Saccharomyces cerevisiae S288C: one gene and its partners. The gene in region 3 interacts genetically with the main gene of each other region. Each region holds a gene or a part of one and is shown on either strand. Other genes may lie near its edges.

The links.
Region 1: mutations in ERO1 (region 3) and APS3 together harm fitness more than expected from each alone (negative genetic interaction), as found in Saccharomyces cerevisiae (2 studies listed by BioGRID).
Region 2: mutations in ERO1 (region 3) and HUT1 together harm fitness more than expected from each alone (negative genetic interaction), as found in Saccharomyces cerevisiae (2 studies listed by BioGRID).

The regions. Positions count from the first base shown.
Region 1 is NC_001142.9:395,431-398,186, reverse strand, and holds APS3 (Aps3p), read left to right. Parts: upstream 1-1,594; coding exon 1,595-1,616; intron 1,617-1,693; coding exon 1,694-2,256; downstream 2,257-2,756. Other genes in the region: PET130 (Pet130p), read left to right, coding at 1-832; RRN7 (Rrn7p), read right to left, coding at 2,676-2,756. UniProt on the Saccharomyces cerevisiae protein: Part of the AP-3 complex, an adaptor-related complex which is not clathrin-associated. The complex is associated with the Golgi region as well as more peripheral structures.
Region 2 is NC_001148.4:86,514-89,814, forward strand, and holds HUT1 (UDP-galactose transporter HUT1), read right to left. Parts: upstream 1,521-3,301; coding exon 501-1,520; downstream 1-500. Other genes in the region: YPL245W (uncharacterized protein), read left to right, coding at 1-437; signal recognition particle subunit SRP68, read left to right, coding at 2,004-3,301. UniProt on the Saccharomyces cerevisiae protein: May be involved in specific transport of UDP-Gal from the cytosol to the Golgi lumen. Involved in the maintenance of optimal conditions for the folding of secretory pathway proteins in the endoplasmic reticulum.
Region 3 is NC_001145.3:10,983-14,891, forward strand, and holds ERO1 (ER oxidoreductin), read right to left. Parts: upstream 2,193-3,909; coding exon 501-2,192; downstream 1-500. Other genes in the region: YML131W (uncharacterized protein), read left to right, coding at 1-313; COX14 (Cox14p), read right to left, coding at 3,559-3,771. UniProt on the Saccharomyces cerevisiae protein: Essential oxidoreductase that oxidizes proteins in the endoplasmic reticulum to produce disulfide bonds. Acts by oxidizing directly PDI1 isomerase through a direct disulfide exchange.

The sequences.
Region 1 (2,756 bases), on a different chromosome or scaffold from region 3:
TTTACAAAAAGAAGAAGAAAGAAACTGGGATCCAGTGAAATTTGTTGCTGGTAAACTTCGAGGTGTAATTTCACCCATCCAAGCCTATGTGACGATTGGAAAAAAATTTTCCCCTAACTCATTGGTATACACTAGTAGATTCTTTCAACTTCATTACTTCCCTGAAGACCATTTTATGTCTTGTTTTAGAAAAAGTAAACCAGCAATAACGGTAAAATCCAATAAGAAGTTTTATTTAAATGGGAAGGTTTTCAACAAGGACAAAGAATATTTCAATGAAACTAGGATATCAAAAGCTAATGAAGTCGAACTAAGCAAAATTCAAACAGCGATGACACGGCTTACAAATAGACATAGAAACAGTATTCCCTCTGAATTTGCGTACTTGAGACGAGATTTAAAATTAAAGGTGAAAACAACGTTTATCAAGGAGTGGTGTAAACTAAATGGTGATAAGGCCATTCGAGAGTACGTTAATCTTAACAGATCTCCAAATATTAATCCTGCTAGCATGAAGGGCAAGCCAAAGAAAAGTTTTTTAGATAACCTTGGTAGAAGTACTGTGGGAACCGCAAAGGACGGCTATTATTTATACATTGTTAGCATATTTCCTGATAAAGATATGTTAGGAGAATTTAATGACGAGGTCAATAGAAGCGTTCAAAAGGTTGCCAATTTGGATTGGGATGGGTTCTTGACCCCAAAAAAAGGCACGAAAGGCAAAAATTGGGTAGAATCGTTCAATGACAGTATAAACGTTCAAACAATTAACAAGATACTCGAGATCAACAAGTTTCCATTTGAATTAAGAAGAGAACAAACAGAAGGCTGAGAAATGGGCCAACCATGCATCTCTCTTGCTGTCCACTATGTATCTACATATACGTTTTAAATATTTATCATCGAATGTGCAAATACAAGAACGTCACTTTCGAGTCTAAGTGGTTGTCACTCATGTTTCGTGATAAAAGAAATATTTACAACCCGGGATTTTGAACCGTTGCATGGTCATACTCGAGGAGTATTAGAATCAAGCCATTATGATCTGCTATATATCTTAATGGTAAGATCACAATATAAATGGATAGCAATAACTTTTGAGTATGAGGAGTTCCACTTTCATAAATGTTATAGATATGGAAAGCTTACGCTGATGTAAGTAATGAGTAATCACAAAACGAGGTAAGAAAGGCCAAGCGAAAATAAAGTCATATATTTTAGGCAAAAAAAAAAAGTCTCAAGTAATTCTCTATAAGGCAATAAAAAAATAGTTCTCATTCAGTCTTTTTTCTTTCTTTTTGAATACGATGGCTCGATTAAGGTTCTTCATTTCAAAAAATATCTTGCTTATTAATATTGAGTATGAATGAAAGATTCATATCAAAAGTAAGCGCAAGTGGTTTAGTGGTAAAATCCAACGTTGCCATCGTTGGGCCCCCGGTTCGATTCCGGGCTTGCGCATTTCTTTTTTATATTTCTTCTCTTACGTTGTAGGAGTATATTTTTTTTAAATAGTCCACTGGAACAATATCATTTCTGTTGTAACTATACCAGATCTGGGTTACAGAGGCCAGAACACATATAACGTTACACAATGATTCATGCAGTTCTAATATGTATGTAAGATTTCTCAAGGGTCTTTTCTTCTGCCAAAATTATACATTACTAACATAATTCATCATTTTTGGTATAGTCAATAAGAAATGCCAACCAAGATTAGTGAAATTCTACACGCCGGTCGACCTTCCAAAGCAAAAACTGCTATTAGAGCAAGTATATGAATTGATTTCTCAAAGGAATAGCGATTTTCAAAGTTCTTTTTTAGTCACGCCACCATCGCTTCTGTTAAGCAATGAAAATAATAATGATGAGGTAAACAATGAAGATATTCAAATCATCTATAAAAACTACGCTACACTATATTTCACTTTCATCGTGGATGATCAAGAATCAGAACTGGCCATATTAGATCTGATCCAAACTTTTGTGGAATCATTGGACCGTTGTTTTACTGAAGTCAATGAACTTGATTTGATTTTTAACTGGCAAACTTTGGAAAGTGTATTAGAAGAAATCGTGCAGGGGGGCATGGTCATTGAAACAAATGTGAACAGAATAGTTGCTTCTGTTGACGAACTCAACAAAGCTGCCGAGTCCACAGATAGTAAAATTGGAAGACTAACGTCCACTGGATTTGGAAGCGCACTACAAGCGTTTGCTCAAGGCGGATTTGCACAATGGGCAACGGGGCAATAAACAAACAAATTAATCGGATGATGGTTATTTTCGTTCGTCAAGATCTGCACGTAAAACCGGCTTGAAGAAAATTAGCTGAGCCGGGCATTTCCCAGCTTTTTTAATATATAATACAAAATTAGGCACCCTCCCTTTAAAATTCTGTTTAAAACTAGATCTGGTCATAAAACATAGATAATATTGTACGTACAATATGGTCACACCGTTAGGAAAAGTAAGATCTCGCTGTGTCTAGAGAATGAGTTTTCTTTCTTTTTGACAGGAAAAAAATAAGTTCTGATAATGTAAAAGTTATAGAAACAATGTAAAATAGGATACATTTCTATATTAATATGTACCTATAATATATGCAGATTGGTATATGTAATTCAAGGAGTATGCATAGAAATAGCAATCCAGCGAGAATAATTTAAAAGGAGTCAATTCATCCTATGCAGACAGGCATTTTTGATCCTTGAAATGCAGTCTTTCAGTTGCTCTTTAGAAATGGCAAAATCCAC
Region 2 (3,301 bases), on a different chromosome or scaffold from region 3:
GGATGCTATCTACTTACGATTTTCCCTATCGCTTGGACGGAAAAGACTATTACGTTGAATGTGGTGACAATTTCAAAGTTCGCTGGGATCGCTATACTCCACGTGAAGTGACGCCTTGGAGTGAGCGTTGCGACACGATTGATGAGGTAGGTAGTGTGTATACTATCCAAGGGTTTGATCTGAATTATGCTGGTGTAATTTTGGGCCGTTCCATTGGGTATGATGCGGCTAATGACTGCATCAAACTAAGACCAGAGCTGTATGACGATAGGGCCGGTTTCACCAAAAAGAAAAACATTCACAATGCAGAGGACGTTAAGCAAAAGATTATTATGAATAGCATTAATGTCCTCTTAACTCGTGGCGTGCGTGGTCTGTATGTTTATGCATACGATCCTGAATTAAGAGAGAGACTGCTTCGTCCATCAAAAAAATAGGAAGTACATAGTATAGACAAATTTTATAAATATTAACTTTTATTTGTTGCGATCTTCACTAATCTACGCAGATTTTGCCTTCGGTATATTAGCCTTCTTCTTGTTGAGTGCTTCCCAAGTGATTCCACCAAATACTATAAACATCCCCACCCATTGCTGGAAACGTACACTCTTACCGAAGACAATAATACTCAAAATCATCGAGACCATTTTCCTGGTGACTGTTATCATGATCAAAACTAAAGAGCCAAATTGTTCTAGAGTATAGAAAATAAAGCATTGTCCCATAGCGCCACAGAACGAATAAAGCATTAAATAGCCCCACACTTGTGGGTCCATCGTCAATACAGAAACGGCATTATCCCATTGTTTGCAGTCGATCACAATAAAATACAAAATATTCCACAATATCACGAAGAGGTTCAGTGTAAACATCAAGTGTGCACCTGTTATCAAAGTTTGTTTTCCCTTTTCTTTGGCCTTATTGGCCTTTAGTAGCTTATCTTGGGTGGCGTTGGTCAATCCATCAAGGAATAAACTAGAGAAAAGTAGTCCAAACCCTTGTAATTTGTTATCATTTCCGCTCTCATTAAAGGATCTCTTCAACTTTTTACCATCGTTGCCACCTATAGTGAAAATAGTGACACCGAGACTTACCAAGAGAGCTACAACTTTTTTTTGGCTTGCTATGGGCGTCCTATACAAAAGCAAATGCACCAACAACACGGGGATCATCTTGCATGACTTTGCTAACATGTAAGTGAGATAATCCACGTGCTTTAAAGAAGTTGTAGCCAGCGGGCCTGAACTACTCTGTGTAAATGATATCAACATCAATTGTTTCCAATGATCTTTAATCATTTTTCTGGGCGGATATTCCACCTTCTTCCAGTTTAAGTACAGGTAGCCCATCATCATTGCCACAGAAGCTTGTATGAGGGATATTACATTAGGGAATTGAAACTTTCCCATGGAGTTTGGCCAGGTTCTTGTAGCCAAAGGCTCCTGTACTAATGCCCACGTCAAAAAAGTAGCATATATACCAATCGCACAGATCACCAAACTGGATGTACTTCCCGCCATACAAATATACGAATACTGCCTTGTTTACTTCTTCTTGTTACGTTGTAATTCTGGTTCTAATTACATTGCTGTCATTTTTTCATGTTCGATGGGATCTACAAAACAACCTTTAGAAGCGATCTCAGGGAAGCTTTGGAAGAGAAACAGCTGATGATTCTGGCATTCCACAAACTACAACAACGAACCAAACGACATATTCCATTGCAGTGATTTGATTGGGAGTAAGCTTTTATAAACGAGCAGACCAATATGATTTACGTAGTATTTCGTTGTCTTTACCACATCGTTGTTCGTGATAAGTTCTGAAAATTTTTTTTGGAGTATATTTGCTAGAGTTAATCCAACAATATTAGCATAAACGAGCAGCTGGAGACTAGGTTATTTGAATTATTTGAGCATCAAAGTGATCAATTGTATTATATTACAGTGTAATTTTCTTTTTTTCCATATTGAATCAAAAACTAGCCACGCTTGAAACTAAAGATGGTTGCCTATTCTCCAATCATTGCCACCTATGGTAATCGTGCAGAACAGTTTTTAGAAACAGACTCAGACTTCGCTAAGTATCATGCGAAATTGAATAAAAAGTTGCAACACTTGAGGAGCCGTTGCCATTTGGTCACCAAGGATACAAAGAAATACTCAAGTAAAAATAAGTATGGCGAAATTAACTCCGAGGATTATGATAATAAAACTAAATTGATTGGTGTTTTGATTTTACTACACGCTGAAAGGGACTTGGCACTGGCTGAAACTTTGAAATTGAGAGCTCGTCAAAGAGGAAAGTTAAAGAAAAGTGAAGAAAAGGTTTTATCCACAAGATTGAAGAAGGCCTGCAAGACTGCTGATAAATTGGTTAACGTCACTCAAAATGAACAGCAATGGATAACTCGTGCCCAATATTTAGCGTTCGCTAAATTGGTACATTCAGAGTACCTAATTAATGGAAAAAGGTTCAAGAGGAAGGACAATGCCAAAATTTCGAACAACCTAGCCCTCGTTTTCGCCGCATTGGAACACTTGAAGAATCTAAGCTTATTAGCTGAAGAAGTTGTAGATAACATTGTTAATAAATACCAGTACTCTCTCAAGCAGTACGCGGGAAATTTAATTACAACGCCCGAAATAAATAACTTTATCGTGGAAAGAGTTCAATCTGATGAGAACAAGGACGATGAGCTTGTGAAATTGTTATTAGACAATGGATTCAATATGAAAAAAATTACAACCTCAACTGAAGATCAAAAGGTTACCACTAACATAAACTGGAGATCTTTCAACGCCAAGATAATCGATGCTGAAGTTGCTCAATTTTTGGAACAAGGTCTATCTATCCACCCAACTCAGATTACTCAATATACACAGAGGCTATCAAAATTGGAGAAAGCTTTAGACCGTCATGAATTTTTCATCGCAAACCACGACGATCAAGATGACATAGACGAGATGGTTGAAAATAGTTCTGAAAACAATCAGATAATTTTAGCCTACATTAAATATAATATTCTTTTGACCTCTATATCTCGTGAAAGAGATTTGTTTACTCATTTATGGAATCAATGGCTGAAATTAAATACTTCATTACCATCGAAGTTAACCAAATATAAAGAAATGGAACGTATTGTGAAGAATTTGACAAAATATTTATCGGACATAATGGAGCTACCTGGTGTGTATTCAGATGACGAGCTGCTAAGCCAATTAGACTTATGCAAGCTGTATTTCCAGTTATTTCTGAATACGGGCTGCCTGAGTGTTTTATATCAGTCGAAAGGCAGATA
Region 3 (3,909 bases):
TATGTTGATAGCCTGTGGTGCTATAAGTGCCTATAATGATCCATCTAAATTTGTCTTTAAGGGGTATAGCTTTATTCTGACTAAACGATTGGTCGTTAAAGGAGTACTAGTGACAGATAATATTGATGATTTTCCAAAGGCATTAGATAAATTGGGTTCTCTGGTTAAGCATGGTAAGATTGACCTCTTGAAATCCGCTACCCTTGAAGATGGTACCGGTGATAAGTTCAAGAATGTTCCATTGATATGGAAGGGTCTATTTAGCGGTGTTAATAAAGGTAAACTTATTACCAAGGTTAACAATGAGGAGTGATTTTACACAAAAAGTTTAAGATATGACTATATTATTTTTATTATTGTATCTACTTCGTTTTGGCTCTTATAATTTTTTAGTGGCCTAAATTTTCAAAGGAAAAATTTATTGAATATTTTGAATGATATTTAAACTCTATATTTTGAAATCTATACATTGAATACATATAAGATAAACTGTGTTGCTCTTATTGTATATCTAGCTTATAGGAAATAGGCTCTCGTGTCTCCTCACTAACGTAATCAGCAACACCGATGAATTTATTCCAAAATTTGTATACCTTCATCAAAGATAATTCCCAGATGTTCCTGGGTAAATCCAAATAGCTTCTATAAATAAATCTGAATGCTTCTAAAACGTTGTTAACTTCAGTATTCCAAGCTTTCTTCCATTTATTTACTGTACCGTTAGAGGGCCTTGGAACTATTTCTGCTTTGGGCATTTTTAAATCATCAAATACATGTGATTGAGAATTGTTAGTCTTTTTCTTTCCTTCTTTAGTGGAATTGATGTTCTCTATGGTGTAACGAATCGATTTGCCTGCCTCCTTCAAAATGTTGAAGAAGTTATTTTGGAAGAATGAGCTTAACCTGTTTTCAGAACCGTTTAACCTTTTCCCGTACATTTTTTCGAACATGTTAACAGATTCAATAGATTCAGATAATCTACCGAAAGTCTGTAATAGTGCAATCAACTCATATTTGGTTAACTTACCAACAATATGTTGTTTGGTGAATTCATCAGCGTCGTTGATTTCAAACAAAATTTTCAAGGCAGTTGCGTAACCGGTAGTTTGAATTTTGCCCCACAATCTACATCTATCACATTGCACACAATCCATAATCTTCGTGACATTCTTGAAGCGAGATCTGAATTCGTCCTTCAAAGTCAAACTTAGGTCGTTGGCAAAAACTAAGTCTTCGTTAAAAATTTTTGTGTCCAGCTGGGAAATAACGTTATCCATTTTGTTTTTGATTTCTTTATTGACTAGATCACAGAATGAAAATTCTGGTAAATATGGTTGAATTTTCCAGAGAGCCTTAGCTACAACAGCATAATTGAAATACATGTTTGTCACTCTATCAGGAAAGTTCCCGATTCTTGCCATAAACAAATCCAGATTGGGCTCCCATTTACCAGTTTTCGTGTTCAAATATTCCTTTGATAAGTGAGTACCGATAGAGGCATGGAAACCGGATACAAGTCTATAAAATGCATCTTTGGCCAATGATTCACCAGTTTCGCCAATTGTAAAACAGTTGTCTTGGTAGATAGTAGACCAAATTTGACCAGCTTGCTTACCACCATAACCTGTAAATCGTTCCGGATTTGCTGTTAAATCAATCAGAACGGCGTTTTTACCGTTAAAGTCATTTACATCACAGTAGTTGATGGTGTCTTCGATATCTACAGGTTTTTTACTGGTTTGACATAGTTGATCTAAGAACTTACATTCGTCATCGCTATCATCCGCTTCCTTCATTGTATCATTATTGAAACTACCCAAGATCTCAGGCTGCCAGTACTCAGGCAGTGTATCCCAGTCCTCTACGACATCAACAGAGCAAGCGCGGTTTAAGCACAGACCATCGTTGGCGTCCCAAAATGAACATTGCTTGTATAAATCCAGCCGAAAGTATTTGAAGAAATCAGATTTTAATAACGCCGAAAGATCATCTCTAATGTTTTCATTTATGGCATTTAATTCATTGAATGTTACGTTACAACTGGGACTAACGTGATCATTCCTGTCGACCTTACAAAAGTGAGTGTCATTAAAGGCATTTTGTGTTTGGTCGGTGGCGATGTAGCTATTGTTTGAAGTTGCAGATGTAAAAGCCGTGAGGCACAGTGTGGCAATGGCGGTTCTTAATCTCATGTTTTACCTGCACGTTACTGTGGTATATGCAATAAAATGTTTACACTCTTGAAATAGTATAACCAGTTTAAGTGGTAAACCTTTTCAAGCTCTTTATACTTAGCTTCAAGGATGATTGAACAAGTTTTTATGACACGTACTCCGTATCGTTTCTTTTTTGTTCTCTTCTTTTCTTTTTGTTCTTACTAACGCCCAAAGCCGGAAAAATGCGAAAAATTTCCAGGGTCTTCTATAAGAGAAACCAAAGGACAAAGGGAAAAGGACATACTTAGCAGGTAGCTCAATATTATTTGTTTAATTAGAACAGTCTTCTCTTTGTGTATGTCTTGTACCATTGTCTGTGGTATTCTCGATTTGTGTAGAATACATTTGCCATAAAATGTCAGTAGACCTTTTCTCTGATACGCAGTGAATATATCAATTCTCCTACATATCCTATTGTTCATTGAAAATATGAAAAGTAAGCATTACTCAATAGATAGATAAGAAAATGATCTCGTTTCAGTTGTGAATATGTTTCAGAAGAAATGTCTTGATAGTATTGGTAATGTAGGATGGGCAAACCATATGTAAGGTAGGTGGTTGGCAATTTACTTTTTTTGTGTTGCCAGTATGTATATATGCTTTTGGGGGGCCTTAATGTTTACCTTCAAGGTACGATATTTAGCAAGCATTTCTAGTTCTTTATGTGGTGAATAAGTAATGTGTGTGTGAACTATGGCTACTGGATGACTATATTCGGCATTAGTATTTAATAAGGGTACGACTCTGAAGTATCAGAGTTGCATCATTTCAGACACACTGGAGGGATCCTGTTATATATTTTGAAATAAATAATGTACAATTTTACGGGTGTACACAGCACAAAAAGGAACGTATTCTTACCGCCGTGTTCTTTCCATCACGAAAGTGACTTCATTGCGATGTATTTTTCAGCAAGAATTAAGGTAATAAGATCTCTTCACAAAGCTGACTCAAAAGGCCTACATAATGGCAGTAAGAAAAAGTAAACAGCGAGAAATAGTCAGATAAAAAACTAGATGGCGAATAGACGACATTTTAGAAGAAAAGTGTTTCAGCCTTTGGCCTCAAACCTCAGTGGCAGTCTTTCCCCTGATAAGGAATAGGAAGGCATGCAGCGATATATATGTTAGTTTTGCCTACGGGAATCCGGCAGCAATGTTATTTATTTTTGTTGTTTCTTATGATTTAATTATTATATACAGGTTCGTAAATATTGGCATGATAATGAGGAGAAGGTGGAACCAGCACACTACGTCGATGGAGGCCCTTAGAATATAGTGCAACACTTAAAAATGTAATCTAGTACTTTTTCTTCATTTTATTAGCACTGGGTTCTCGCAGTTTACTCGGTAGGAGGTGCAGTAGGACTTTGCAGTTGTTGATTGTCTTCTTCAAGTGCCTTTTGTTGGGTCACTTGTTGTTCGTACTTCTTACCGTTCATGTATAAAGTGTAAGCTAAGCCACCCGACATGTATAACGTACCACCAACCAACGTCAGTACCGTTAGACGATGTAATGTATCTGTAACTCTGGTATACCAAGCGTATTTGGACATGACTATCTGCGTTCTATTTTTTGTTCTCTTCCTCTCACCATTGCCAAACCGCTGTATAGATTTATGCTCCTTTCAATGCATTTATTCTGATCCTCTCCGATTTCGTATACCGGGTAACATTAATCGCAAGGAAGGAGA